Linked DNA regions of Notamacropus eugenii. The protein of the gene in region 3 interacts with the protein of the main gene of each other region in a pairwise test. Links are inferred from orthologs where the notes say so. Each region holds a gene or a part of one and is shown on either strand. Other genes may lie near its edges. The genes, in order: TMEM239, SH3GLB1, COQ8A and LDAF1.

Region 1 (7,805 bases), on a different chromosome or scaffold from region 3:
TCTCCCGCCCCCGCCTGGTCCGTTGACCCCTCGGTTCTGGCCCGCTGCATCGATCCGGTGCACCTGCGGGGGAGTGGTAATGGGAAGGGCTGTGACCCCCAAGCACCTAGTGAGGAAGACCGGCGTTCGGAAGGCATCTATGCGAAGCAGATTCCCAAAGATCAGGGAACTGAATGAAAGCAAGAGGGGCAGGTTATGAGGCCAAGGTACCTGGGGAGGATCTCAAAGCACCTACCGGAAGGGAATGGTAAAGAAAGAGGCATGTCTGAAAGAACTTGAGGGAGAGCTGAGTGACAGCTGAGTCTCTAAATTTGAGCGGGCTTGATTCTAAAGCCTTCGGGGAATAAGGGACTGGAAGGGGTTGATTCTAAGCCATAAGGAATGATCCTAAAGCACCCTCTAGGGAGAGGTTTATGGTCCCAAAGTATCCAGGGAGTGACAGGAAGTGATCCCAAAGTAGTGAGGTTCAGGAAGAAGGAGAAGAGAGAGAAAGGAGAAGATAGGAAAGGGAAAGGGGAAAGAACTTTCTGGTAATGAAATGCCCTGGGGGGAATCTTGCTTTCTTGGAGGAGTAGGAGGGAGGAGAAGTTTCATTAGTTTCTTGGACACACCAGGGTAGAGGAGGCTGAGGGAGCTGGGACCTCTTGGGGCAGAGCTGCTAGTGGCCAAGCCCAGGTGTGAAGAAAAGGTCATGATTTGGCCCCTGGCTGGAAGCTTGGAAAAAGGGCCTGTACATGACCTGGTCTCAGGATCCTCACCTGGAAACAGTTGGCATTAGAGGTCAGGGAATGAGAAATCCCCAGGTCTTTCTTGGAACCTTACTTGTCTCCAACCACCCAGCCCTAAGTTCAAGATCTCTAACTTGGGGACCTTTAGAAACATTTGGTCAGTGGAGAGACTTGGAGGCAAATCTAAAGTGTAATCTGTAGTGTTGTGAGTGTGTGTGTGTGTCTGTGTGTACAGAGGAGGATCAGAGAGCTTAGGGAGAATCAAGCAAGAGGAAAGGAGGGAAAAGTAAAAGCTTTGGGGCTCCAGGGCAAAGGTTCCCTGGTTCTTCCTCTGAGGCAGGAGTCAATGAAGCCTGAGAAACCAAGGCTGAAGGCTGAGATTTTTCATCTTTTGTAGACTTCTAACCTAGAGCAACCACCCTACATCCCTGTTGCTGCTGGGGTTAGTTGAGAGTTCAGAAGTTTTCCTCCAATGTCCCATCAGGGAGGTGAACCAGGACTCTGGAAGACTAGAGAAGAAGAAAGCAAACCCTCTCTAGCAAACCGTGGAGAGGCTCATCACCTGAGAAGGTTGGCCAGGGCTTGAATGTTTGGGAACACAGCAGTCTAAAGGGACTGTCTATTAAGGTCTGGGTTGCAGTCTGTATCAGCTATATCAGCAGAGAAAGTAGCTACAGATCCTTAAAGTATTGGCAGAAACTTGGAACCAGGCCCCAGATGACTGGGAAAGCAGATGAAAGAAAAGGATTTCACAGACAGAGGCTAGGGAGAGGTAGCAAGTGTAGACTGGATGTAATGTCTAGCCATTGCCTTTACCTCTCAATATAGGTTTGCTCTGATACTTCTTTCCTTGATGACTTGTCAGACTCTGATTGGGCTTTGTTCCTTGAAAGGCCAAAATGTAGGGAAAACCCAAGGACTCAGGATAAACCACCCACTAGCTGTTCCTCCAGGGATCGTGGGGTTTTGGGTTCCTAGAAACTGATTAAACTACTCTAAGAAAGCAGCATTTCATTACAGAAGTTGAGACAGAAGAGAATAAGGAAGGAGACAAGGGAAGAGATGGGAGGTAGGAGAGTGCACCAAAGAAGGGACCAAAGACATAGAAAGGAAAGGGAGGAGTCAGGAGGGTTGAGAACTAGGGAAGTGGGTCCAGGAGAGGATAGCAGAGATGGGTATCAGGGGAGTGAACAAGAGAGGGGAGAAGAAAGGAAACCACCAAGAGAAAAGAAGTGTAAACCTGACAGATAGAAGATGGGGTTGGGAAGGGGACAGAATCATAGGATATAAGAGTGAGAAGGGGCTTTGGGGGTGTCTCTTCCAACCTGTACTGAACAATATTCTCTCTACAACATGGCTGACAAGTGGCCATCCATTCAACCTTTGCGTGAAGACTTCAGATTAGAACTCACCATCACATCTGGATAGCCCTGATTTTAAGAAGCCTTTCTTTATGATAGGCATGCATGGATGACTTGTGATCCATACACATGGATGAGAATGGATCCTAATGGGGTCCCAACATGGGACAATCCACATTGATGAGGATGGATTCAATGGAACGTTAGCTATCTAGCCGTTACTCCCCTGTCCTATACTAAAGAAACTGATGTGTCGAACCTAATGTGTAGAACTTTATGTTTATTCTTATTAAATTCCGTGTGCTTAGATCTGGGCCCACACTTAGGACTGCCTAGAGTCCTGTGTGTCCTGACCTTCTCACCCAAGGTTAGCTATCTCTCTGAGCTTCACACATCATCAGATTTGATAAAAATGTTAAATAGCACAGATCCCTGGGGCACTTGGCTGGAGATAGAAACCCAAGTCCACAAGGACTGCTGAATGACCAAAGGTTCCCCCTGCCGAATCCACCAGTTTTATCACCTAGCAGCTTCTTTCTGTGTTGGCCCCAGGGGTCCCATAAGAGACTGTCAAATACTTTGCTGGAGTCTAAATATATCTGTATACTTACAGCATTCCTCTCGTCTAGACGGGAAGGGACAATGGCAAAACAAGGCAAGGGACAGGAAGACACAAGACAGAGGACAAGGGAGGAGGCAGAAAAGAGAAAAGGAGAAAAGAGTGAAGAGAGAGGAGAGGGGATAGACCATAGAGGGAATGGAAAGGGAGAAATACACCAGAGCCATTGTGGGGCTAGGCTTACCTCCCAGCACAGCAGCCTTGGTCATGTCGCCACCGCCAGCTCCCTATACAGAGCTGGGAAGGAATCCTTGCAACCTGGCTCCCGGCCTCCCCATCTCCACCCTACCCCTGGGGCCTCATTGTGACCCGGGCTTTGGGGGAGGGGTAGGACAGTGCCAAAGAGAACCCAGCCCATTGGACTCCGGAGTCCAGGCTCTAGGCCTTGTCTTTTTTCTCTTTCCTTATTTAGGGTCCAGGAACCAACATTCTTTGGCAAAACAAAACAAAGTATCTTTAAAAAAAAAAAAAAGAGTTTGAGTCTTTTGCCCACCAAAGGCACAAACTGTCAGGAACCTCCAGACAGAAGGGGTTTTCTGAGCCAAGATCTAGCTTTAGTTTCTCCCTTAGTAAAATGAAAGGTTTGGACTAGATGAATATGCTCCTTACTTGCTCTGTGATTTTGTGTTCTCCAAGGAAAAGAATTTCGCCTCCTCTTCCCTGTCTCCCCTACTCCCTGGTTTCTAAATGCCTCCTGGCTGAAAAGCCTGCCCAAGGTCTGACCTACATCCTTCTTGATATAGTCAGCAGGCTGAACCTGAACCTGCCATAGAATTCTCTTTCCACACCCTCCCTCCTCAGAGATCATAAACCAAGGCCGGCGCTGTCTCAGGCCTCTGCATCTCCCTGTTCTCCCTAACCTCCTATTCTTCTGCTAGGATTTAAGTTATTGGGGGCTATACCTTCTGCCCCATGACCCATGACCCCAAACTCTTAGACCCTTAAAATTCATGGAATTTTGCTACTTTTTCCCTGTGTCCTGGTGAATAGACCTCTTTGCCTTCCTGGGTCTTTCTTTGCTCCCTTACAAAATGAGAGGATTGAATCAAATGATCTCTAAAGGCCCTTTTGAGCTACAGATTCTAAGATTCTGATTGTGTGGCTGAAAGGATCAGATAGGCTCCTTACAGCACTATTGGTGTTAGACACTTATCTAAGGGTCCAAGGTTTAGGCTACTGAGTAGAATAGGGTCTACTCTGACTTAAGAGTCTTCTATATTGGTTTTTCAAACCCTGGGACCTGGAATAATTTAGGGTCTTCTTTCCAGACCACTCATCCTAGCCTAGAGACAACCAGAAAGGAAATTCAGAGGCAGAGGCTGGGGCAATCCTCATGTATTTTCTGTGAAGAGAATCTTTTAGCCTGCTGATTCCTGGAGAGCGGAGGCTTTGCTTCAGGCCAGAGCCTTTAGGCTGACTACAAGGCTGAAGATACTGATGGGCATCAGGGCCCCAAAAATAAGCCCTAGAAGGGTGAAGAGCAGGAATCCATCCAGGACTTGGCTCAAGGCAGGTGGGAGCAGTGGTTCTTGCAAGCTGGAGCCTTCGCCCCCTGCTCCTGGGCCAAGGGGTCTAAACATTGGTCTTTGAGGCAAAGGCAACTCCGGAGTCCTACAAGGAAAGGAGAACCTAAGGTGAGACTTAGGCCAAAGAGACCCTCTCTGGGGCAGAGAGACCCAGGAATCCAGTGTGCTTACCCATGCATTAGGTCAAAAGTCAGGAAACTCATCATTAGTAACAGCAGCAGGAAAGCTATGCCTGGTCCAGCCAGGGCCAGGACAAGGCGAGCACCAAGTCCAAGTATACCGGCGCCCAGGGCCCCATCCAAGAGTGTGAGTGAACTCCTCAAAGGCATACCATGGCCCTCCAAAAGCTCAGGACCCTCGCCAGCTTCTAGGCCCCGGCCCATTCGATCTGTAATGACAGGGATCCTGGGGAAATAGAAATAAGAGATAGGGATGGGTAAGGCAAGATGAACACAAAAGAATTCCTTTTTATTTTTTTAAAGATGTTAGGAAGTTGAAAATTCAGGAGCAAAGAACTAGGGAAAATTCTGAGGTGAACAAGTCAGACATTCATAGAAAGAAAGAGGCAATAACAGACAACAGAGGAGAAGAAGAACTCCTCAGTTCTTATTTTGCTTCTTTTGTTCCTATCAGGAAGCCATGATCTTTGGAATGGAACAGGCCAAAATGAGGGAATAGGGATAGGAATGCAGACGAAGAGAAAGAGAAGTGGAGGAGAGAGAAAACAGGAAACAAATCAATCTAACAGAAAAATACTGATAGAGCACCCACTATATACAAAGTGCTGCATGAAGCACTGGTGATAAGACATGTGCCCTGCCCTCAGGAAGCATATAATCTTTTCTAAAAATTATTTTTAACATTTATTTAAAAATAATTGTAGTTTCAAATTCTCTCCCTCTCTCTTGTTTCTTCTCCACCCATTAAGAAGGCAAGCAATATGGCATCAATTATACATGTGAAATCGCGCCAAATCTGTTTCCATATTAACCATGTTGAAAAAAAGAAAAGCAAGAAACACAAAGAAAGTGAAAAAAAGTATGTTTCAGTCTGCACTTGGAATTCATCAGATCTCTCTCTGGGAGTGGAGAACATTTTTCATCATGGGTCCAAGAAGATAACAATCTAATGGGGAGATAGGAAATATATACAAGTAACCATGGTCTAAAGGAGGAGTAGATAAGACCTAAGAGGTCCAGGCAAAGTGACACGAGAAATTTGATGAGGAAGAAATCATTTTCCTAGGGATGAGGGAGAAGAGATTAGGTAGGCCCCATGAGTTGGGTCTTGCAGGAAGGAAATAGAACTGGGGCAAGGGGGTGTAAGTTGGAGGGAACAGCTACTATAGCCAAAGACGTTTCTCCCTTAGGATTCAATGAGGTGAATTTTCTAGGTCCGTATGGAGGATTTGTGGACAAGAGCTTGACTTCTCCTGATAGGCCACCATCATGCCTTTCCACGCATTTTCTGACACTGCTTGGATAACAATGGTGCACTTAGAGAGGAATGAGCTGGGGCAGGGTTTGAGGAAAACGTTAGAGTTAAGGTTGAGTTTGATTTGCTACAAGAACAACTTTGTGGAAGATGTCCAACAGGAAGAGATATGTAACTAGGGCAGGGTGACTGAAGTTCTGCTCCAGGGTGCCAATATTTAGAGGGCACTGACAGCGTTTATATTCATTCAGGAGCATAGAAACAATGGTACTTAGTATCTTGTTAGTAAGAATCATGATTTAAAATAGTAAGTTACCAGGTGGTCCCTTTCTCCAGTTTACTAGGTCTTATTGTATCTCAGATGAGCCTTCCCTTCAGGCAGTGGTCTCCTCAGCAACAACTTCTTAGTATCCTAGATCTGTCACCTGATAACCAAATTTGTCTTAGAAAGTTTATTTGATACTATTTCATAACACTTTCTCAAGGCAAAAATTGCTAGTAATGTCTCTGCCAGCGGGACTAGAGCTCAAGGGAGCTCTCAAGGATGACTATAGATATGGGTATCATCTGCACAAATGCATGTTATCTATGAAGAGATGACAATAATGGAGCCAGAGAAGTAGATGAAAATGTCTAGGAAGAGACAGAGAAAGAAGAGGGCTAAGGGGATCCCCGGATCCTGGGGAAGACTTGAGTGTAAGAGGAGAAAGGAAGATGTAGAGCCAGTGAGTGGCTCATTTCCCAAAATGTGTTCTTTAGAATTGAATCTAATACTCCAGATATGATCATGGGCAAGGGCATTGTCAGGAAGGGCTTTTGCCTCCCATGTTCTAGATAGTAAGCCTCTATTTATGAAGCCAGAGACAAGGGAATGATCAGAGGGAAAGGAGAAAAGACAGGAGAAAGCAGCAACACGGAAAAGAAGGGAGAAAAGGGTATCTGGAAGGAGGGGGATAGATAATAATGTAAAATGTGGCTGAGAAGCCTGAGGGGATCATGCAGATATTGTAGAGATAGAAATAGTGACTTGAGGAAGAGAAATGGATGAGGGGGAAATTAAGGCAGAGATGGGAAGATCATAGATTCATAGTTAGAAGGAACCTTAAAGGTTATGGAGTGTAATCTCTTATTTTATAGATGAGGAAAATGAAGCATAATGATTTGCCCAAAGTCATACAACTAGTAAATGTTTGAGGCAGGATTTGAATCAGGTCCTTTTGAAGCTTAAGTCCAGGGTCTTGCCCATTATAGTAGGCTGCCTCAGAGATGAGAAGATAATAAAAGAAATGATTCTGGGGGGGACAGATGAGAAAGGAATTATGGAGACGGTTGGAGAAGAGACAGATAGACAAATGAGACTGAGGAGGCAGGGGTAGAGAGGTGGAGATGGAGGAGACAGGGTTAGGAGACAGGAATAGAGGCACAGGGATGAGGGAGAGAGAAATGGGAAATTGGCGACCCAAGAAAGAGTTAAGAGACCTTGTGGGGAGCATTTCTGGGGAGAGTCAGGGATAGAAGGAGTTTGGAATATAGGAGGAAATAGGATGTCCTGAAGGAGCTAACCAGAGATGAGGAGATAAGAACCCTGGGGAGGAAGTGGGGGACAGAAGTGTCATTGTCAAAACCCAGTTAAGGTAGGACCTAAAGTTATGAGGAAGAGGACAATGAACTCAAGACAGCTGGGGCCTGGTTTGCCGGCAGCCCTAGAGACATCAGATGAGCTCCTTGCCAAGTACAGAGAGCAAAGAGCGTTCTGGGCCAGTTCTGATGGAACATGGTCATTACTATGGAGTCCTGTGTTCCTTTTCTCCCTCCCCAACCTCCCCACTCCTCACCTCCTCCCTATCGGGCCTGCCATTCTGGGGACATAAACTGCTAGGGGAGAGGGAAGGCATTATGACCTGTGGAGTAGGGGCTACTGCAGAGGTCATCTTCCCCCCAACCCCGCCCCATATACACATAATAGCTGTGACCAAACTCTCTTTGGACTAGCTTGGTCTGCAATGATGCCCAACCCTGGGTAGTGGGAGAGAGGGGGAAGTATAGAGAAAGATTTCCCTGATCCCTTTTGCTCCATTTGTAACCATTGGTTCTAAGGACCATTGCATGGGACTCATTGCTCACCTGAATAAGGGGT
Region 2 (8,000 bases), about 87 Mb from region 3:
GTGCTTGTTTTGTCTAAACAATCAGGCACAGTATTTTCAATCTCACATGAAGTATGGTCCCAAGATCTCTTAACTCTGAAAGGTGGTAAATTTTATTCTTAAGGTAATGGATCCAGCAAAAGTGAAAAAAAAAAATTTAACTTGTTTACGTTGATTTAGCATAATACTTCAAAAATTATTCTTGAAAAGTAAGTCAAAGTTATTGTTACAGAATGGTATTAGTGAAAGGTAAGATAGACTTGAGTATAAATAAAGCTCACAAAAGCTCTCTTCCCTACTTTCTTTAATCACCACTTCTTTAAAAGCATACTATCAACACTTCTAGACTTTACCGTCTGTCATCTGAAGTTAGGATAGTAAATTCCAGTTGTGTCTCCTTAGGCTACCACTCTATACAAACATATCAGACCCAGTCACTCCAACTGGAACTGAGTATGTGGAGGAAGACATTAAATATAGACAGAGATTAAGACTGCTTTTGGCACTTAGAAATTGGGCCAGTGTACAAATTGACCTGGTAGGCACCTGGAATTCTTATTTATTGAAGAGAACATCCCAATAGTCAAGCCTTTTTAATACACAAAATACAGCCTGAAATTCTCCCTGATTCTTGCGCCAGTGGAAAAGTATTCCTTCTCTTCTTAAATTTTCTTGCACGATAAGGCCATGTATTCTTACAAGGAAAAGGGTCAAGTTCAACTTTTGCTACTTACTTCCTGTATGTCTTTGGGTAAGTCATTTAATCTCTGCTGGGCCTTCACTTTCTGATCTGTAAAATAAGGAGGTAGGCCCAAGACACCCTACTGTGCATTCCAGCCCAACTCTTTGATCCTAAAATATGGTTCCATACCAGACCTTATCTATAATCATTATTTATGTACCTGTCACATCTTTCAAACCAGTAGAATAAAAAGTTCCTTGAGGACAAAACCTTTTTTATCCTTTATATCTTCAATAATTACCACATAATAAATGCTTAGTTAACATTTGCTGATCTGAATAATGAATAAATTTGACTTGTCACTGACCTATTTATCAGGTAAACTTTATAGAAACAATGAGTAAAATTCCAACTGAAATTAGTTGGATCAGAAGAAGTCTCCTGCTTTTAACAGAAATAGTGTTATTGGCAACATTTTAGTGGCCTAATGTAAATTTCTCAGTGAAACTATAAGATTCAAATCCCAGAAAGACTAATTAAATAATACAAATCAGACAACATAAACGCATGAATAATCCTATTGGCACCTTGTTTTAGGAATGTAAGAATACACCTTGGAAGAACTAGACTGTATTTATCAAGTATCCACCACCCTAAAGAAGGAAAATGTTTTTATAGGTATTAAAGGAGATCAAAACATAACCAATGACACAAGTTCATTCATTTATAAAATGGACAGCACTAAGTAGAATTAGAAATGATCACCATAAATTTAAATTTACTCCAAGTTCTCAATCACTTCTGGTTGTAAAGATGAACACAGAAATTTACTCAACCAAAAAAGAGTCAATTTCAAATTATGACCTTTTGAACTGTGGCTAATTTTTTAAAAGAAGATGTTTTCACTAAAACTCAGCGTTACGGTTTAAGGGTATCGTCAAGAGTCACACATAAATTTGTTATCTTAGCGATAAAAATTCTTTTTAAGGTATTTAAGGGAGCAATTGCGACAGTAGTCCTGGTAGGCTTTGGAATCTCGAGTGTACCTCTTGTTTTTTAAGTGCACCTTTCTTAAACCGTGGTAGATCTTTAAAACGTGGGTGTGAGATGGTTTCCAAGAACGTTTAGTTCTACCCTCCTTCAAGGCCGAGGCTCTCCAGGTGAATCCCGACTGCCGCTTACACAGCAGGGGGCCCTGGGCCGGCTTCCCCCGGGCAAAAGGAGGGCGTTGGTCCGCTCGCCCCCGCCAGCTACACCTCTATCCCCCAGATAAAGCAGGGAGGCGACTCCCCTGGCCGGCCACACCTCTCCGGCTGGCTACCCCACCTAGCCTACTCCCTGCTTAACCAACGGTCCCAGAGGAGAACCCAGGACCCAGAGCAGGCTCCCAACCTGCGGGCAGTTCGGTGGAGGTCCTGGAGCCCCTCGGGAAGAACGTTTGTTAAGAGGCAGAAAAATAAACGCGGTGTAACAAAGGAAACCAGCTATCCTGAAGCGGCCCGAAAACGCATCCTTTCCAAAGTTCGAGGACCTCCAGTTAGGACTGGGGCCAAAGGGAAGGCCGGCGAGGGAGCGCCGGAGCGAAGGGGCGCCGGGCCGAGGGGGCGCCGGGCCGAGGGGGCGCCGGAGCGAAGGGGCGCCGGGCCGAGGGGGCGCCGGGCCGAGCCCAGCACGGCCGCGGACCTGACGCGCCTCTGGCTCCGTCCCGGGGGAGTTCCCGGGGGAGGCTGGGGCGGGCCGCGGAGCCAGCCCCGGGGCGCCCCGAGCTCGGCTCCCGGGGAAGTGACCGGCTGGGGACGCCGCGGGCCGGGCCCGGGGTCCTCACCCCGTGGGGCTCCGGACCCAGGGCGCGGCTGGAGCTGCGCGTTTCGGGCGCCTCCCAGTGCCCTGGGGCCCGGTGGGGGCCGGGGGAGGTCAGGAGGTCAGGTCCCGGCTCGGGCCTCGCTCTTCCCGGGTCTCGCGGCCCGCGGGGAGAGGAAGAGGGCGAGGCCACGGTTCCTTCCGTTACCGACCCGCCCCCGGCCTGGCTCGGCCCGGCTGTCAGCGGCGGGAGGCGGGGCCTCGGGGAACGGGCCGCGGGCCTCGGCCTCCCTCCCGCCCGCCCCGGCCCGGCCCGCGCGCTACCTGCACCGCGCGGCTGAGAAAGGTGCCCGCGTCCGCCGCCAGCTTCTTCACGCTGAAGTCCATGATGCTTCCGCCGGGCCGGGGTCGGGGCCGGGACCGGGGCCCGCAGCCGGAGCCGGAGCCGGAGCCGCAGCCGGAGCCGGGCGGAGCCGCCGCTGCCGCCTCACAGGGAGCAGGGAGAGGAGCCGGGAGACGGGGGCGGGGCCCGGCCCGGGAGAAGAGAGGACAGCAGCCAGGGGAGGGGAGGGTGGGGGAGAGGGGGAGGGCGGGGCCTAGCTTGGGGAGGCGGGGAGGGGCGAGAGAGAAGGCGGAAGGAGCGGCCGGGGGCGGGGTCTAGCGCGCTAAGGAGGAGAAAACGAAGGTAAAGGAGGGATGACGGAAGAGAGGGATGTGAGCGGGGAGAGAGGAGAAGAGGAGGGGAGGAGAGGAGGGGGCGGGGCTTAGCTCGCCTAGGGGATGAAAAGGAGGGAAGGGGAGGGGAGCGAAAGGCGAGGGAGGAGCTTCGAACAGGGGTGGGGCCTAGCTTGGGGAGGTGGGGAAGGGAGAGGAGGGGAAGTGAGGAAAGAGGGAGGGACAGACTGAAGAGAGACTGGGAGGGGGCGGGGCGGAAGGAGAGGGTGGGTCCTAGCTCTCTAAGGGAGAGAGAAGGGGAGGGGAAAGAGAGGATAAGGACTGGGAGAGGAGGAGGGGCGATCAGGGAAGGAGCGGGTCTGGCCTCTCCTGGGAGAGGGGAGAGGAGGAGCTAAGATTGGGGGCGGGGCCTAACCTGGGATGGGGAGAAGGCGAGGAAGGGGCGGTGCTTGAGGGGGCGGGGAAGCAGAGGAGGGACGTGGCTCTGGTTAGAGAGGGCTGGGGGTGAACGATGCCCGCACGCCCAGCTCCCCCGGGGGTGGGAGGCCACGGCTTGGGGGAGGGCGCGGTGGGGTGGCGTGAGTCCCACCAAGGGGGCGCCACGAGACACACTCCCATAGATGACTGACCAGAGAGACGCGAGGCCAGCTAGGCCAGGAGCCCCACGGGGAGTGACACGGAGACACGTGGAGTGGGGGGGCTCCGGGGAAATGATGAGCCAATGGCAAAGGGAAAGGGCCGAGAGACGGGGTCGAGGAGAACAACTGGAGAGTGATGGCAGCGGGGCACGCGGTGCCCGCGAGGGCCTGGGCTAATGTGCGTGAGAGGAGGCGTGGGTGAAGAAGGTGTGGGAGGCAAGGGGGGGTTCCAGTTGTTGGGACTTGTGTCTGAATGTGGTCGGAGCGAGGGAAGAGCGGCCAAAAACGGCCAAGGGTTTGAACCTGGGTCCTTGGAAGGATGGCGGTGCCCAACAGAAATGGGGGAGTTCTGTTATGGACATGTGGAACTTGAGATGCCAGCGGGGCATCGAGAGACCAGCAGGCAGTTGGAGATGCAGGACTGGTGGTTTGGAGACAAACAGAGCGTGGCCATCTGCATGGAAATACGATAGTTGGACCCAATTATAATTGAAGAGTGCCCAAGTCAGAATGCGTACAAAGGGAAAGGAAGAGTCCCCAGGAACAAGCGGCCATCCAGCCTTTGTTTGAAGACTTCCAGAGAAGGAGAACAGATTGCCTCCCTAGGGAGCACATTCTGCTTTGGATCATGTGTAATAGTTATTAAAATTTTCTGTCAATTTATCCTACATCAGCCCTTGATGACTTCAGTCCATTCCATCCAGTTCTGCCATCCAGGGCACAAGGAGTCTAAGTATTTAAAGACAGGACTGTCGTGTGCCCCTCCAGTCTTCTCTGCTCCAGGCTAATCACTTCCAGTTCTTTTCATTGATCCTTATGTGGCATGAACTTGGGCCTTTCACTTTCCCCATCTCCCTGTCTCCAGAGGTTCTCCAGCTTATCATTGTACTTAAAATGTGGCATCCCTAACTGACCCAGAGATAGTCTGATCAGGGCAAAGAATAGCCTCTCAATGCATCCTAAAACCCTAAACTTCACCCTCCAGAACTTGCTGGTTATTTGACTAGGAGCAAATCATTGAACTGCAGTTTCCTTACCCTTAAAATTGGTATTCAAAGTAACCATCCCAGGAGGTTATTGTGAGGCTCAAATGGCATTATGTATGAAAAGGAGTTCACGAAGCTTAAAGTCTTGTCAAGATGGCAGCTATTTCTTCCTTTTTTTAAACTCCAATCTCAGAGATGGCTTGTACTACCTGGCCAGGCTTCCCTTACCTTCTACTTGTTTGTTTGTCTGTTTGCTTTGGAGACCAAATGGAATACTTTACATTTTATCCTATTGCATTTCTTTGTAGTAGTTTTGACTGAATGTTCTATCTTGTAATACATGCTGGTAACTGAGCCCTGTGGATAATGGCTGACTGTTTAAGCTATGTTGAGACACACAGGCACAGAAGCACATCAGGATAAGTGAAGGTCAGGAGCCTTGTGATACAGAGAAAGATGCAAGAATGAGCTTCAAGTAGTTGGAAACAGGCATGGACAGTCAGGTAGCTGGATTTATAAAGCACATTTTTAATAAGTAGGAGATTTGGGGGAAATTTCTGCTCATATCACATATTTGCCACATACAGTCAGGAGATAAGACTATTACACTTTAGGGAGAATGATAAAAGTTAAGAGAACTAAAATTGGAAGAGATCTTAGAGACTGTCAAATTCAAATTCCATCTTTGTACCCATGAAGAAATTCAGACCCAGGGAGTTTAAGCGACAGTGAAAATTCAGACTCAGTTATCTCTAATTCAAGACACTCTTTCCATTGGTCTGCTGCCCTCTGGACCATGGACTGAGGGTTAGTATCTAGAAAAGGTTTCTCCCCTGATGACTTCCATGCTTGTCCTGTGCCTTCAAATTACAAACAAAGGTACACAAAGAAATATGAGGGCCAGGGTCAACTACAGGTGTTGAGAGATATTAGATTAGATCAGTCACATGCAGCCTTTAATGGAATAAAAGGTCATTCTTCGAAACAGGTTCAAGTTGCACCCAGCTAAGGTGGAAAAGGAGCAAGAACTGCCAGTTCCTCCTTATTCTTCCTCAGCATTCCAAACACTTTAGCAAGTGCCCACAAGAAAACACAGTCTTATACCTGGCTTATACCCACAAGAAAACACAGTCTTATACCATGCCTCCTCTGGGCTTCATCTCTCTAGGCTCCCCAGAAGCATGGATTTGAGGAGGGTAACTGTAGATACCATTGCTTCTAGCCAAGTAGCTCAGCTACTCCATAAAAACAAGAGAAACGTCCCACAACCTCCCTCTTCTCTCCATGTTCTTTCTCCTTTTTCAGGTGCCCTGCTGCATCTCTCCTTCCCCCCCCCCCCCAATTCTCAAATTGCACAATACTTCTTTGCCTCAGGAGATGAATAAAAACCTTAAAATACCTGAATTCTCTACAGATCCATACCATTCTTCCTCCCTCTAAAGTAGATGTTACATTATATAACACATTAGTATATGTCCCTTTGTAAAAAATGAGTTGACATCATCAAGTTAATATTTGGGAACACATCAATGTAGTGATAGTAATATAACATTCCCTCCCCCCAAAAAAACCTGGCAGAGTTACCCCCTAGAATCTTGAGAGGAGTAGTAGTCAGCTGCCCTCTGGGCACACAGCCTGCCAATGAGAGTGAGACTTGGGAGTAAGCCCAAAGGAGATGCTTTAACAGTACAAATTACACTAGAAGGACAAATATTTGTGTGCAGGACAAAGAGACCCATCTCACTCTCCTGTCACATTTCCCTTATAGCAACCAGTTTTATCACTGAAGAGTAATTTGGTTTTCCCTACCCACTATACAATCCTTAGAGTATTTTCCTGCTTACAGAATCACATTTTCTCTCCCCTCCACGCAACTACAAATGATGAAAAAATCCTGTTATATCTCATTGCATTAGTGAGATACAGGGTAACTACTGGTAGGTCATTTAGTTGATTGTGGCAACTAACTAAATTTTTTTTATTAATTTTATTTTGATGTAACAGATACTTCCTAAAAAACTCCCAAATGAACCCTCCCACAAAATACACTCCCTGAGGAGTACTTTTCACTTTTGTAGGTTACTGATTATTAACGAAAGGAAGGATCTGTGCTTTAGTATTAACAGCTTGGTACCTATGCTATATGTTGTATTTGACCTTTCTGTTGCCTTTTAGTTTTGCCTTTATATTGTGTAATCATTGTGTGTATTGCTCTACAGGAGTGAATAATCTAGGATAGAACCTTGGGGAACACCACAGTTTAGAGGTGTAGTATGAATGGTGACCCTGCAAAGGATATGGACAAGGAGTTGACAGGTAGGGGAGAACCAGAAGACAGTCATGTCAAAAAATTTCAGAGTACACAGGAGAAGAGGATGGTCACTATTGCCAAGGTTGAATGGGATGAGGACTAAGGAAAGACTATCAGATTTTGCAGTTAAGAGATTATTGGTAATTTTGCAGAGAGCTATTTCAGTTGAGTGATGAGGTCAGATGCCAGATTGTAAAGGGTTGAAGAGTGAGAAGAAAGAAAAAGGAAGCAACAAGTACAGGAAGCTTTTTATAAGAGTTTGGCTGAAAAAGAGAGGAGAGCTGTTGAATGACAGCTTGAGGTAATGTCTAATGAAGGATTTTTTGTTTTGTTTTGAGAATGGGGGAGACTTGGCCATCCTTAAAGGTTATAGGGAAGAAACTGTAGCTAGAGAGAAGTTGGAGATTTGAGAGAGGGAGTTCATTGAGGGAACAGTGTGTTGGGGACAGGAAAAGACAGGATCAATACATGTACAGGTCTTGGCCTAGGTAAGAAGAAAGGCCACATTATTGTTAGAGAAGGTGGTTAAAGAAGAGAGAGTGGGAGATGATGTCAAGAGGCTTTGAAATGAAGAGAAGGGGTAAAGGAGGAACACATGGTAAATAGCCTCAGGAACGTTAGAGGCAGGTTCTTCAGCTGAGAGGGAAGAAAACTTCTGAGTAGAGTGACATTATATCAATTGTTGGTTGTGTTTGTCCTTTTTTGAAAAAGACCATACCATCAGAGAAATAATGACATGACTTGCACTTGACTTTGTTTTGAGTGAGGGAGGGCTGTGCAAGTCACCAGCCTCACTTCTCCTCCAGAGTCATCTGAATCCAGTGACCAGATATTCATCAGGATGACTGGAGACAGCCGAGGATGAGTAAATTAATTAGGGAGGAATAAAAGAATTGCTTTGCTTTGGTGAAGATTCTGTTGCAATTGGA
Region 3 (6,980 bases):
TGGTTGAACAAGTTGTGGTATGTGAATCTAATGGAATACTACTATGCACTAAGAAATGATGAGCAGGCAGATTTCAGAAAAACCTGAAGATTTACATGAACTTAATGAAGACAGCAGAACCAGAACATTGTACACAGTAACAGCAATTCTGTTGGATGACCAGCTTTGATAGATAGGTCTTCTCACCAATGCAATGATCTAAGACAATTCCAAAAGACTCATGATGGAAAATGCTATCCACATCCAGAGAAAAAAGTATGGAGTATGAATGCAGATCAAAGCATACTTTTTCTCTCTCTGTTTTTTTCTTTCTTGCAGTTTTTCCCTTCTGTTCTGATTTTTCTTTCACAACATGAGTAATATGGAAATATGTTTAATATGACTGTACATGTATAGCTTGTATCAAATTGCTTGCTGTCTTGGGGAAATAGGAGGGTAGGAAATTTAGAACTCAAAATCTTATAAAAGTGAATGTTTAAAACTAAATAAATTTATTTCTAAAAAGAGCATCAATAAAACATTTACTTAATAAAAAAGAAATAAAAAGGATTGTAAAGTAGAATAGCATGACAGAAGAAAGAGCAGTGGATTGGGGAATCAGGGTACCTGGATTCAAATCCCAGCTCCTCCACTTACTACTTGTGTACCACAGCCAAGTCAATTAAATCCTCTGGAGCTAAGCTTCCTCTTTTGTAAGGTAAGAAAAATGGACTACAATAGGGGTAGCTAACCTGAGTTCCATGAACTTTAAAAAAAAAAATCTGATAACTATTTAGACGTAATTGGTTTCCTTTTTTCGCTATGAAATTTATTTTAAACATTTAAAATGTTAAATATCTAAAATCATAGTCTGAGAAAGTTGATCTATAGGCTTCACCAGACTGCCCAAGAGATCCATGACACCCAAGAAAAGATTAAGCAGCACTGGAGTAGATGAAATCCCTTCCATCTATAATCTATGATCCTAAGTGGGTGCAAAGACAGCCAACCTTCTCACTTCTCTTGCAGGATACACAAGGAAGGTTATGTCAATAGTAAAAATAACTGTCTACTGTTCATTTTTCCCCTCATTTCTTAAGACTTAGCTTAAGTGTTCCAGGCTCTTGGTTCAACCCATAAGGAGTGATTTGTCTCCAAAGGGACATTCCTGCCACACTCCGAGTCAGTCTTTCAAGCCCCTGCCAGCTCAGCCTGTCCTTTTACAGCATGACAACCAGCAGCTTGGCATTTTCAAGTCCTCTGGCCAGAAAGAAGCCCTGACAGTCACCCTTTGCCAGTGCTTCAATCACGAATTTAGGGGGCAGCTGGGTATCCCAGTGGATAGAGCAAGGCCTCCAAAAAACAAACAAGCGTTCAGGAACACCTATTTAGAAAGCCCTCGAGGCATGGTTTCCCCACTAGACCCCGTGGGCAGGCAGGTCAAGCATTTCCACTGCCCAGGCTAAGAGGCTCCGCATTCTGCCCAGACTTCACACAACTCTCAAGCCTCAGGGCCAGGATTCTCCCAATCCCACATCCTGGGACCTGGCAGAGGATGGGCCAAAGGCAACACAAGGCCAGCCTAAGTCTACACCTAAACCTCCAAGGGCGAGGAGTGCCAACCGCCAGGCGTCCGGGCAGGGCGGCACGGGACTCTGCCCAATGGCCGGCAAAGTTGGGCGTGGAGGCGTGGATGAGGCGTGGGCACGGCTGGCGCGTGGAGGGCAGCTCCCGCAGCCGCGCGGACACCTCTTCCCCCCGAAGCGCCCCGTCCTCCCGGGCTAACCCCACCCGGGCTGGGCTTCACCTCTCTGCAGGCACTGAAGGTCAGAACTAGCCCTTGGGCCCGGGGCCAGCGCGCTCAAGAATCAGGACTCGGAAAAGGCAAACAGGGGTGCGGGGCAGGAACGAGCCGCGCCGGGGCTCGCCCACCGGCTGGGGCGGCAGCGCGCTCCAGGGCTGGGGCTCGGAGCCCGGACCCTGCCGGCCGCGCTCCGCTCCGGCGGACGGGATCCACAGGGACCGCCGGGTGCTGAGGTCCGAGGGGGCGGGAGGGCGCGGAGGCTGCGGCGGGGGCTCTCCATGCATGCAGCAAGTGCGTGGGGCTGCCGCCTTACCTGGGATTGGGGAGGTGGGTCAGCAGCCCGCCTCCGCCTCCGCCTCCTGCAGCCGCGCACCTCCCGCTCAGCGCTGCGGTCCGGCACGCGCTCGAGGTATGTTTACCAACTCTCCAGCCGCGCCGCGCGAGGCCCTGGGGCGGCCTAAGCACCGCCCCCCGCGGTCGCTCCGATTGGTTGCGCCGCTTCCTCCTTCGGAACGTGGGCCCGGGCAGCCTTACAAGCCGGAGCTTAGAGGACCCCTTCGAGCCCTGAGTCGCGAACCGTGCGCCGCGCCGGGGCTCCTGACGCCTGGGCCAATCGGGAGCGAGAACGGAGAGACGCTAGACCAATGGGAGGCAGCTCTTCTTGGGCCGCTCCCAGCCCCTCCCCCACGCTCATTGCTCCTCCCACCTCCCTGCTCCCTCTTCGGTCTGTAAATCTGGGTAGGCCGTTTGCTTGGTGCAAGGGCTGGGGGGCGGGGCATTTCTCACTCTGCCTAAGGCCTGTGGCTTGCTCGTCCCCGCGGGAAATGGTGCTAGCGGCCATGGTCGCCAGACCCCCCTCAGGGCCTGGCCTCAGGCAAGGGGGGGGAAATGAAAAAGACTCGGGCCACTCCCGGGGAGCCGCAGCTGGGCCTCTCTCCACTGCCCGCCCTTTCTCTCCTCCCCATCCCCCACCGCATTCAGCGTACCCCCCAGCCTGCAGTCCAACCCTGCCCTCCCTCCGCGGCCCCCAGCCTTTCAGCCTTACGTTCTGCTCCACTCGTGGCTGCTTCTCCGGGGCCGCCCCCGCGCCTTCCTCCAGCCCCAGCTCAGAGGCCGCCCGGTGCACGAAGCCCTTCCTGAGGGCCCGTCACGCTCTCTCCAGCTCGCCCCTCTGCGCGCAGTTGTTTCCACGTGGTCCTCCTTGTTAGATGGCGCCCCCCTTCGGGGCGGGAGCCGTCCTGGGCCCTTGCTCGTGTGCGGGCGCCTCGTCCAGCGCCCGGCCCGGAGGTGCTCGTTAACTGTTGGCTGGCCCGTGTGAGAGCCGCGAACAGCCGGCCGCCGCTTGTCCTACCAGCCTTGGGTCTCATTCCCTCTCCTCATCTTGTGGGTGCTGTTTGACCCCCGATGGGGTCGTTCTTCCTAAACATCAAAGCACAAAAAGTGATGCGAAGGGCCTTGGCCCAAGACTCTTCCCTTGGAAACAGGCTGTTCCAAGCCCGGAGTGACGGCCCAGCGGGCCGGGATGGGGAGGACAGGATGCGTGTATCCATTCAGTGTCGGGCACGTGGCCCCTGCCCCTGGAAGCGACCCTTCGCAGGCCAGAAGATGGAGCCGAGGGGGTTGTGGCTGTTTTCAGGACCCCCTGTGGGGTGCCCCGGACCATTTTACAGAGGAGGAAACTGAGACAAAGAGGGTTACGCGGCCAGATGTGAACTCCTGAAGATGTCTTCCTGTTTCCAAGCCGCTTGTTCCGTCCACTTTATCCCCTAGCTGCCCCAAGGAGAAGGGGAGGGAGAGCATTTCAGATGGCAGCAGAGGGGAGGAATAAACAGCCTCCTTGTTCGCTGTTGACTTCCTCTATCCCCTTCCCTTGCTCAGCCTCAGAACTCCGTCGCCTGCACCAAGTAAGCAGGTCTGTAAGGACTCCGGGCCCGTCAGGGATGAAGGGACACCGGCCCGAGTAGCGGTGTGACGTGGGGAGAGTGACCTGCTTCAGACTGAGGGGGCTGCGTCCTAGGAGGAGCCCTGGGGTTCACAGGTGCTCCACCCCACCCACCAACCTGAATTGAGAGTGACTACTGCTTCTCTCCCAGTGCCCCCTCATTAACTGGTGGAGGGCGATGACTATTAAGAGGCTGGCATTAGGCACATCCGAAAACGCCTGAAAGAGTGTGTGTGAATTGTGTTCTCAATGTGTTTAAGTAACAAACGCATGTGCGGTGGTTACACTCCACCAAAGGCCTACCTCATTGAGTTACCGTGGTGTAGAGGTGACCCTGGATTCTAGACCTCACACAAATATCGGTGTCATTGAAATTCTCTTGTACAATCCCTGGAAGGTCCTGCCCACTAGCTGGAAACCTTTCAAGTTAACTACTTTTAGAGGGCTAGCTGGGCAGGGACTCACCCCCAGGAGGAGAGATAGCAGGCGTAGATGGATCTGCCTCACTTGGTAGCTGTCAGTGAGTCAGTAAGCATTATCTGCTGCCTTCTAAGTGACAGGCGTTGAACCAAGTGCCTAGGATACGAAGAAAGACAAAAGACAGTTTCTACTGCAAGGAGTTCACAATATAATGGAGGAGACAAAATGCCAAAAATAAATACAAAGCAGGCTTTATACAAGACAAATAGGAAGTAATCAGCAGAGAGAAGGTACTACCATTAAGGGGGATCAGGAAAATAAAAGGCAAAATTTCTATAAAAGATTTTAGCTGAGATTTGAAAAAAGCCAGAGAAACCAGGAGTTAGGCTTTGCAAATCTTGAAAGGTTAGTAACAAGTGAGTTATTATTACTATATACACAGGATCTTTTTTTAAGCTCCTGAACATCTCCAAAAGTTGGTTCAGTGGTCAGGATTGTGCCATTTCTGTCTTCTTCATAATGTCATTGGAGGAACACTCACATTAAAAAGACTTAGGTTTCAGTGCTAGTTCTGCCATTAACGGGTGATGTCATCTTCACCTCTAAGGTCCCTTTAAGCTCTAAACAATAATGAAGATAGTAATAATAATAATTGGCACTTATATAAGCACTTTAAAGTTTGCAAAGGTACTTTACAAATATTTTTATTTTGTCCTCACAATAACTCTAGAGGGTGCTATTATCCTCATTTTACAGATAGGAAACTGAGTCTGAGAGAGGTGAAGAGACTTGGTCAGCTAATATGTGAGGCAGGATTTGAACTCAGATCTTTCTGACTCCAGGTCAGGCAGCTTTGTACTTTATCCAGTATCCAGCCATGTAACTGCCTCTGAATACTGTGATCCTATGATCTTAATTCTGGTTAGCTTTTTTGCATTGTCATTTCCTCTTTATAAATGAGGGAGTTTGACTAGAGGACTTCAGTAGTTATTCTTCCAGCTCTAGTGTTATGCATACTATAAAATCTGAAGAGTGAGGAACTAACACCATTTTCATTTTTGTTTTGAGTGTGTGATAAGCAAATCTAGATGTAGACAGACCGAGCAGGCAGCACCAGTTTCAGAATTTAGCAGGCACCAGGGCCAATGCACAAAAAGATGGTTCATTTCCTCCAAGAGCAACCCCCTTCTGGAATATTGAATTTTGAAAACCCAACATAAACAGATCACATCTTTGAGGGCTAAGGGTATAGCCTACTCAGCCATCCACTGACTAAGCCCTGAGGAAAGTCCAACCCAGGCTGGGACTTGATGGACTGCCAAACCTAATAACATAAGAGTAATCCCCAGTACGATGGGAAATGATAAGCACAAAAGTAATAATTTAGTGGTCTGAACCTGGGAACATCTCAGCATAACCCATGAACAAGCTCTGTTTTCTGTTTTTTCTTCAGAATTCACAGCCAGCTCATTTTATCAGAACTGGCATTCAAACCCAAGTTCTTTGGATTGCCAAGTCCAATGTTCTGATAGCTCATATTGAACGAATAAATGGCAATCCAGTTTACAAAAAGCTTTCTGCATGACACACCTGTGGAATAGCACAAAACATTTTATGGATGAGGAAACTGAGGTTCAGAAAGTTTAAATGACTTGTACACAAGGTTATGAATGGTAAAATCAAGACCTGGATAGAGACAGAAGCAAACAGAACGAGGAGACAAAGATTAGCCCAATTTGTCTGGAACATTCAGTTGCTGAGCAGTCTGGTAAAGTAGTCTTTCTTGCTTTTAGGATTTCATCAGTTCCAGCACCAACTTCTTTGGCATGTACTATGTTTGATTCAAGTATTCTTCCTAAGGGCCGTCTCTACTTCTGAGTAACCCATCAGATATCAAGGTTCCAAGGACCAAATGTTCCTCTGTCACTGATGATGGAAATAGCCTGGCACCAGGGGCATCGCCCTTTCCCAGATACAACATCCAGAATAGCTACCCCAGCTCCAAGACACTGTGTAGGTCCATATCCATACAAAATGATAGCTCATAAGCCCCCACAAATGTATTTGTTTTCCTTGTAGTCAGCCAGAGGTCACAACTCATTTAAACCAAAGATATTTAAAGAAGTAGCAGGCAAACAATCAAGAAACACTAAGTGTCATGCACTGTGCTAAGTGCTAGGGATACAAAAGAATAGTAAAACTAACTAAATAAATGAAAATAGACCCTCAAAAGGTAACTGAGAGAGCATTAATAACAACTGAGCCACATGTCTACTTTTTGATCTATATAAAATCTATATGAGAACAACCAATCATCCCCTCTCATTCTCTAATCCTCACGCTCTCCCTACTGCTCCTCTTGGTTTCTTTTCTACTAACTTTAAACATGCCTTAGTCTTCCCTTAAAAAAACTTTCATTAGGCCCTCTAGTTATTGTCATTTATTTCTCTTCTCTTTCTCATTCAAACTTTAGATATTTACTTATCAGTTATTTATACTCACTGCCAGCATTTCCTTCCCTCTCCTCTCTCTTCCTTATTAACCCTTATCAACCTGGCTTTCAACCTCAGACTGTTTTGGAAACTGCTGTCTCCAATCTTCCCAAAATTCTCTTCGTTGACAAAGTTGATTTTTTTTCCTCAGTCCTCATCTTTCTTGACCTTTCTTCTCCATTTGACTCCATTTGACCACCTTCTCCTCCTGGATACAGTCTCTCCTCTGTGTCTTGTTGTTTGCCCTTTATTCTGTTCCCAAAAAGGACCAGTGACTTCAGTGGAAGTGATGTCTTGACTTGCAGGTGAACTGGATTTAAGTGAAGCCAGGCTGTTCAAAGTC
Region 4 (6,932 bases), on a different chromosome or scaffold from region 3:
CTCATTTGAAAGGTGCTGACTTATTTACAAAGACTTACCCTATAAAATAAGAAAAAAAAATTTACAAGCCACATAGTTTCAAGAACATTAGATTTGAAATGAGAGAACTTGGGTTCAAATCTGGTACTATATTTGCTACTTCTCTGGGATTAAATTTCCTCATTTGTAAAGTGATGGGGTTGGATGAGATCAGTGGTTCTCATTTAGTGGTTTGCAAACCCCACTGGTGGTTTGAGTCTATGGTCCAACAAGTTCATACTAAAAATTCTTTAATGCCTTCTGAGATAGTAAATAATTATAGAATATTATGAGTAGCATATTAAAATTATCCTGGAGGAGTTTACAACAAACTTTTGTTGTGGTTGTTGAAACAACATGGAACAAAAAAACATTGGGAACCAGTGGTTTAGATGATGTATAAACATTCCTTCCTATTCTAAATCCCATGATAAAGGGTCATGTTCTAGCTCTAAGCAGCCTGCAGATAATTCACACTCACCTCGGAGTTACTCTGGATGAAAGTGATCAAGGAAGTCAACATCTTCTGCAGCTCCTGCAAATCTCTGGATATAGAGGAAGCCTCCATTTTCACCATACTTCTTTCCTACCTGCTGAAGTTTCTTCAGGCAAACAAAATAACCCAACTTTGTATTTCACATGTCTCTGTTTACTTCTTGCTGGAAGCAAGGGAAAAAAGGTAATTCTTAATCAATTAAGGGTCTGTAACAAATTAGATCAACGTACTGTAGCTGCTGAGCATAATCTACTTTCCTCCATGAAGAACCTGACAATTCCCAGTGAAATTGATCTTTCTTTCTAGACCTTTCTAGACTCCCCCTACTATTTACGATACATACCACATACTTGAGAACTGTATTTATATTGTCTTGAATTTAGGTTCTAATTGCTCTATGTACTCAGTCTTCTCAATATCTCTAAAAACTGATTGTGCCCACAGTACTATGCTAGCCTCACAGTAGGTATTCAATACATATCCATTAAGAAATGAATTGACTTCAAACCCAAATGGTATAAAGGTGAACTGAGGCTATAACCATGTTCATCCTCTTTCTTCCTATCTCCAAGTCACCTGCTTAGTTTGTAATATCGACCAGAAAATGATCTTATCTCAAGACCTTTTCTACTTGAGCAGTTCCCAAGCTTATTCAAGATTTATTTGATTCCTAAAGCCCTTTCATATCAAAAAGCCAGATTTGGTAGTGGTTGTATCTAACATTACAAAGTAAATAAACTCCTAAGAGCTACTGATCAACAAGTATTTACTGAATTCCTGTCATATAAAGTGCATTTCTACAAATAAAATTACATTCCATAAGTACTAGAGACATTTGGTACAGTAAATGAAAAATACAGCAAAAAACATTATATAAAGCAAATATTCCCTTCTAACGGATCTTAACGCATCAAGTCTAGATTTTCAACTCAGGTCTGCTTAAAACAATTCTTCAACAATAGATCCAGGTTTAGGGGCATTCTATTGATTCTGTGTACCTCATTTCTGTTATAGGCAGCCTTGTCCTCCCCAGGCCACTTTCTTCAGGAGCTGAGAAATCGGAAAGATTACATCAATGAAGCTTTCCTCCCCCCATCTGTCACCAAGCTCATTTGTCCCAACACCCATTTGTATCAACACCAACTCCTGTTTCTAGGGTCCCTTATTACTCAACCTTTGATATCTATACGGTTATTTTTAACCTTTTTGTGTGTCAAGGACCCCTTTGGTAATCTAATAAAGCTTATAGACTCCTTCTCAGAAGAATGTTCTTAAATGCATAAAGTAAAATACATAGGATCACAAAGGAAACATAGTGAAATAGTTTCATATATACACGTTTATATATTTGTAGATAACATAGAAATATATACATGCAACACAGGCATATGTGCATATGCTACATACAAGTGTGTTATATACATGCATGTATAGGATAAAAATTTCATGAACTCCAGGTTAAGAAGGTCTGGCTAGGCCATTTTATCCAAAAAGAAGGAATCGGCAGGTACCTCAGGCAACAACCACCCAGCCCCCACAGGGAGAATACAAGGCCTTACCAATTTGTCTCTTGACACATTTCATAAGTTCAAGGAGGGAAGCTGACATCCTACTCTCACTCCTGAGCCCGAAAGTAAACACTGCCTCCTTCTCTCCCCCACTCTATCTACTGGGGGTCCAAACTGTCACCCCAACAACGTTCTAATCCAGAGCTCAGGGCTGAGACTGGACTGGAGTAGGAATGGGATCTTTCCAACTGAGAAAGGAGAACCAGGGCTGCCTGCTGTACTTCTTCCTTGTTGGATCCTCAAATACCATTATTTTCTCCGCCTCAAACCTCAGACCTAGCTCAGGCCTCTCCCTTCCCAGGGAGCCCCGAAAGTTGGGGAGTGGAAAGATCCTAGGCTCCCTTTAGGGTCGTAGGGAGAGAGAAGGGGTTGAGGGCGCAGTCACCCTTTCCCTAAACACAAAGTGTGTTTTGTTTGGATCTGGGGGTGGGGAAGAGGGGTGGAGACACCCAGCGCTTCGCAGCTCCGCGGGTTCCCTCCCTGCCGGGATCAGATAGCCGGGGTTCTCACCTGATCCGGATTCCCTCCGCAGCTCCAGCTGTCCGAGACCCCGCTGCCCACCCGCTTCGGCCAGCGGAGCAGAGAACCGAGGGCCCCCGGTGGCGCGCGACAGGAGGCGGGGAGACAGTAAAGGAGGAGGAGGAGAAGCCCGAGCCAAAGCAGACGCACGGAAGGGGCGGGAGCTGGGTGACAGCCGGCCTCGGCTTCTCTCCGGCCCCTTCCCCGCCCGATCCTCCTCCCGCCGCCGGCACCGCCCCTTCCCCCAGGGTCTTCTCCAGTCCGGCCAGCAGAGGAGTTCCAGCCGAGCCTGGAGCTGTCAGTTAGCAGGAGCTGTGGGCAGCCGGAGTCGGGGCGCAGCGCGGTGGCGGAGAGCGCAAGGAGAAGCCGGAGAGGTTTGGAGACAGCGAGAGCCGGCGGAGCAGCGGGGCTGGGACGGTCCAGGGCCGGACAGGCAGGGATTCTGCGGCGTCTTTATTGAGCCCCTCCCCGCTGGGCTCTGGGAGCGAACCCAGAGAACCAAACAACTCACTAACATCTTCCTATGAGTAGAACTTGGTTTCTTGGGAGGGCAGAGGAGGACCCTAAAGGAAGTCATCTCTAATGGGAGAAATATGAGCCTTGAGATGCTCTTTCCGCACCTATTCTGGGGATACAAAGAAAGTCAAAAGACAGTCAGTCCCTGCTTTCAAGGAACCTACTACTGTCCAATGGGGGAAAGTAGACACAAACAAGGTAAAGACAGAGTAAACTGCAGGCAATCTCGGAGAGAAGGCACTAAGAGGAAGGGCTGGAAAACGCTTATTTCAGAAAGCGGGATTTTAGGTGAGAGTTGAACGAAACCTGGAAAACTAGGCAGGAGAGATAAGGAGGCGAGCGTTCCAGGTAGGGCAGACAGCTAGTGAAAGCGCTCGGAGTCTGAAGATTAATCAGTCATGATGGTTGAGGAACAGCCAAGAGGCCAATGTTACTGAATACAGCACTTGGATCAGAGTATGTGTAAGAAGACTGGAAAGATAAGAAGGGGTCACCTGAAAGACAGACATGGGTAGGAGACGATTGTTAACTGGGACCCTTGTGTCTTGACCATGGATCCACAAAGCATCGATATGGAATAAAGGATTTAAACTTTAGGTCCAGCACCCCGTCATTTTGACACCACACTGCTTCTCCAGATCCTAAACTCTTTCCACAACATCCCCCTGCTTCTCTATATATGAGCAGATGAGTTCAGTGTGGTTTAGTGAGAAACGACGTCCTTTCATAGATTGAACACTAGACCTAAGAGCCAGGAGATCTGAGTTCCACCACCTATTAGCCATGTGACATTGGGCCAGTCCCTTAACCTCTCTAAGTTTCAATTTCTTGTCTGTGAAATAATAATAACACTTTCACCCCTACATTGTCATAAGGACAAATCGAGATCATGAAGTCTGAGTGCTTTACAAACCTTATTTGATATTTGGTGGTAATAGAACTTAAGTTATCTTTAAAAATATTAAATATTTTATTTATGTGCATGTAAATAAATATTCATATTTATTTCATATATAATTTTATTTAAGAATAATATAATTAATGTATTATTAAGAATATAATAAGAATCAAGAATATTTAAGAAAGTTTTCTTTCTGTTATAATTTCCCTCTCTCCTATACTTCTGATTCTCCTGGACTTTGTCCCTATGACCGTGACTTAGTTGGAGAAAGGGTGTGTGTGTGTGTGTGTGTGTGTGTGTGTGTGTGTGTGTGTGTGTGTGTGTGTGTGTGTGTGTGTGTGTGTGTATGTGTGTGTGTGTATGTGTGTGTGTGTGTGAAATTTGTGGGGACAGATTTCCATTTTAGGGATAGGCCCATTCCAGTTCCCTCCTGGGGAGGAAAGATTCTTTACAAAGAATTCTAAAATTGGCCACGATATCAGTACTTTCTCTCTCCCCTTCTCCCTTTAGTATTTTGCTTCTCTCCTACCACCAACACCTTAGAATGTAAGATAGAAGGTACACTGGGACCAAAAGGATGATTATCTTACTCACACCTTACTTTAAGTGTTGAATCACACTGGACAAGTGTGGTGCTTTCGATGAAAGTACCAAGATTCTGAAGCCTAATCTGAGTAAAAGGGGTTATCTCCAAAGAAAAGTGATAAGATTTATCTAAAGCCAAGATATGCTGTGCTCTAGTTTCTCTGCCTAAATTTTTGTGAAGACAGAGAAGGTCAGTGATACACTCAAGGCCCTGGATATACTGATTACAGGAGAAGTAGAGGCCACACTTATTAACTATTAATGTTATATATCACAAAATCATAGCTCTAAAGCTAGAAGCAAGGTTGTACTGGAGCCAGCTATAACATGAGAGCAGATCGTTAAAATTCTAGTGTGAAATGTCAGGCAGCAAGGTGGCATCCACCTGGAATGAATTCACACACTCAAATGTTCTTCCAGTCAAAAAACAATGTTGATAGTAAGGTAATGGGAGCAGGCAAGATTCTTAGAAACTGCAACTTCATGGAGGTAAGACTAGTGATTTTTATACAAAAAAGGCAGTTAAAGGATCTGGATGGAATTAAGGAGTGGTAAGTGGTCTGGGTTGGGCCAGTCAGCAAATGTGAAAGGAATATTAGGTATTCTGGGGTGGGCCCTGAGAGATAGTGAAAGGACAGTTAAGTAAACTAATTAAGTGATCTAGGTGTGCTGGGGGACCTATACTTTGGGCAGAGGAGCCAGTGATCTGGCCTATTGAAATATATAGGAAAATTCAGGGACTGGGTTGTTTTCAAAGACATGGTCTTTTCCTTTTTAGGGGTCGAGTCCCATCACTCTATCATGAGCCTTTGCCCCCTCAAAAATCAGCAAATGCTACACATCAGGGATCAATTTATTGTTTTGTTGATTGTCATTTGAAACTTAAGAAAGTAACAGAGAAAAGTGCTAATGTTAAGATTAACCTTAAAAGTGTGTCCTACACACTTTTTCTTTTTTTGAGAGCCAGTTATTAAACATTTGCCAATACACCATTGGCTGAAGGGGAGCTCAGCAATCATCTTGTCCAACTTTGTCCCCCCAAAAAAATCCCCTGAACTGGATGCTCAATAAATGGCCATTGGAGGAAGTGTGGTATAACAAAAAGAGCCCCAACTCTGGAGACGCAGGACTTTGGTTCAGATATTCCTTCTGCTCACTTGTGTAACTATAAGCAAATCACTTAATCTCCCTGGGCCACCATTTTCAGGTTGGACTAGATCAGGGGTTCTTAACCCTTTTAGTGTCATGGAGCCTTTTGACAGTCCAGTGAAGCCTGTGTACCTCATGTTTTAAATGCATAAATTTTTAAAAAGATTACAAAGAAACTAATTATATTGAAAAACAGTTACATACAAAAAAGCAAATTCACCAACCCCAGGTTAAGAACCCTGGAAAAGATGATCTCTGAAGTGCCTTCCATAGTTAAATCAATAATTCCCATGGTCCTATGACTTCCCAAGACAGTCATTTTTGGATCCTTCTAGGAAACTCTTCCAGAAACTGAACCTTAAGCTGCCTCTCTGTATTTCCCTGAGGGGCCAAACCCACAGTCTAATTTATTCTCTTCTGTAGGATCACTTTAATTAACATTCATAAGAATAACTGACACATAGTACATTTGCATAATTATCTCATTTAATCCTCACAATAACTTTGAGTGGCAAACTCTTTAACTATTACCCTTCCCTACCCCTCTTTTGTAGATGATATCAAGTTAGGATAAAACTGCCTGCCTTCTCCTCTTCCTCATCTGCTCACAACTCTGGTGTCCTCTGGCATCTTCAAGTATCACTAAGACAAAAGCTAACGTAATTTATACTATGGGACCAAAATAGAAAGTTGAAAAACTATTTTTTATTGGTGGACCTACAAAAGAGCTGGGAACTAAACCCTTGAGTATAAATATTCCCTCCACTTCCCCCATCCTTCCCAAGGAAACAATTGGGCATTATCTCAGTGGCTTGTAGATAGTGAGATCAATTTGAATTATAGAATCCCTTCATTGTTTCCAAACCATCCCCTCCCCAGTCACTGTCACCTCCAAACTTTTTTTTTAATAGCTAATTTTTTTAATTTTCCCTTTATTTTTTAAAATTTATTTATTTATTTATTTAACTTTTAACATTCATTTTCACAAAATTTTGGGTTCCAAATTTTCTCCCCCTTTGTCCCCTCCCCCCACCCCAAAACACCGAGCATTCTAATTGCTCCTATCACCAATCTGCCCTCTCTTCTATCATCCCTCCCTTCCCTTGTCCCCATCTTCTCTTTTGTCCTGTAGGGCCAGAGAACTTTCTATACCCCTTTACCTGTATTTCTTATTTCCTAG

What was found.
Region 1: the proteins of COQ8A (region 3) and TMEM239 interact in binary tests that used the Homo sapiens proteins (3 or more experiments, as listed by UniProt). The two-hybrid records come from large-scale screens. The link is inferred for Notamacropus eugenii from reciprocal best matches to the Homo sapiens genes COQ8A and TMEM239.
Region 2: the proteins of COQ8A (region 3) and SH3GLB1 interact in binary tests that used the Homo sapiens proteins (3 or more experiments, as listed by UniProt). The link is inferred for Notamacropus eugenii from reciprocal best matches to the Homo sapiens genes COQ8A and SH3GLB1.
Region 4: the proteins of COQ8A (region 3) and LDAF1 interact in binary tests that used the Homo sapiens proteins (3 or more experiments, as listed by UniProt). The two-hybrid records come from large-scale screens. The link is inferred for Notamacropus eugenii from reciprocal best matches to the Homo sapiens genes COQ8A and LDAF1.

The regions. Positions count from the first base shown.
Region 1 is NC_092877.1:46,440,263-46,448,067, forward strand, and holds the start of TMEM239 (transmembrane protein 239), read right to left. Parts: upstream 3,005-7,805; 5' UTR 2,893-3,004; intron 64-2,892; 5' UTR 51-63; coding exon 1-50. Other genes in the region: C6H20orf141 (uncharacterized protein C20orf141 homolog), read right to left, coding at 4,103-4,319, 4,406-4,639, 7,504-7,526.
Region 2 is NC_092873.1:496,315,666-496,323,665, reverse strand, and holds the start of SH3GLB1 (endophilin-B1), read right to left. Parts: upstream 3,007-8,000; 5' UTR 2,849-3,006; coding exon 2,786-2,848; intron 2,639-2,785; exon of another isoform or gene 2,487-2,638; intron 2,227-2,486; exon of another isoform or gene 2,054-2,226; intron 2,005-2,053; exon of another isoform or gene 1,708-2,004; intron 1-1,707. UniProt on the Homo sapiens protein: May be required for normal outer mitochondrial membrane dynamics. Required for coatomer-mediated retrograde transport in certain cells. May recruit other proteins to membranes with high curvature. May promote membrane fusion.
Region 3 is NC_092873.1:409,108,967-409,115,946, forward strand, and holds the start of COQ8A (atypical kinase COQ8A, mitochondrial), read right to left. Parts: upstream 3,004-6,980; 5' UTR 2,829-3,003; intron 2,192-2,828; exon of another isoform or gene 2,097-2,191; intron 1-2,096. UniProt on the Homo sapiens protein: Atypical kinase involved in the biosynthesis of coenzyme Q, also named ubiquinone, an essential lipid-soluble electron transporter for aerobic cellular respiration.
Region 4 is NC_092874.1:397,978,491-397,985,422, forward strand, and holds the start of LDAF1 (lipid droplet assembly factor 1), read right to left. Parts: upstream 3,004-6,932; 5' UTR 2,593-3,003; intron 2,493-2,592; exon of another isoform or gene 2,074-2,492; intron 1,565-2,073; exon of another isoform or gene 1,513-1,564; intron 678-1,512; 5' UTR 596-677; coding exon 500-595; intron 1-499. UniProt on the Homo sapiens protein: Plays an important role in the formation of lipid droplets (LD) which are storage organelles at the center of lipid and energy homeostasis. In association with BSCL2/seipin, defines the sites of LD formation in the endoplasmic reticulum.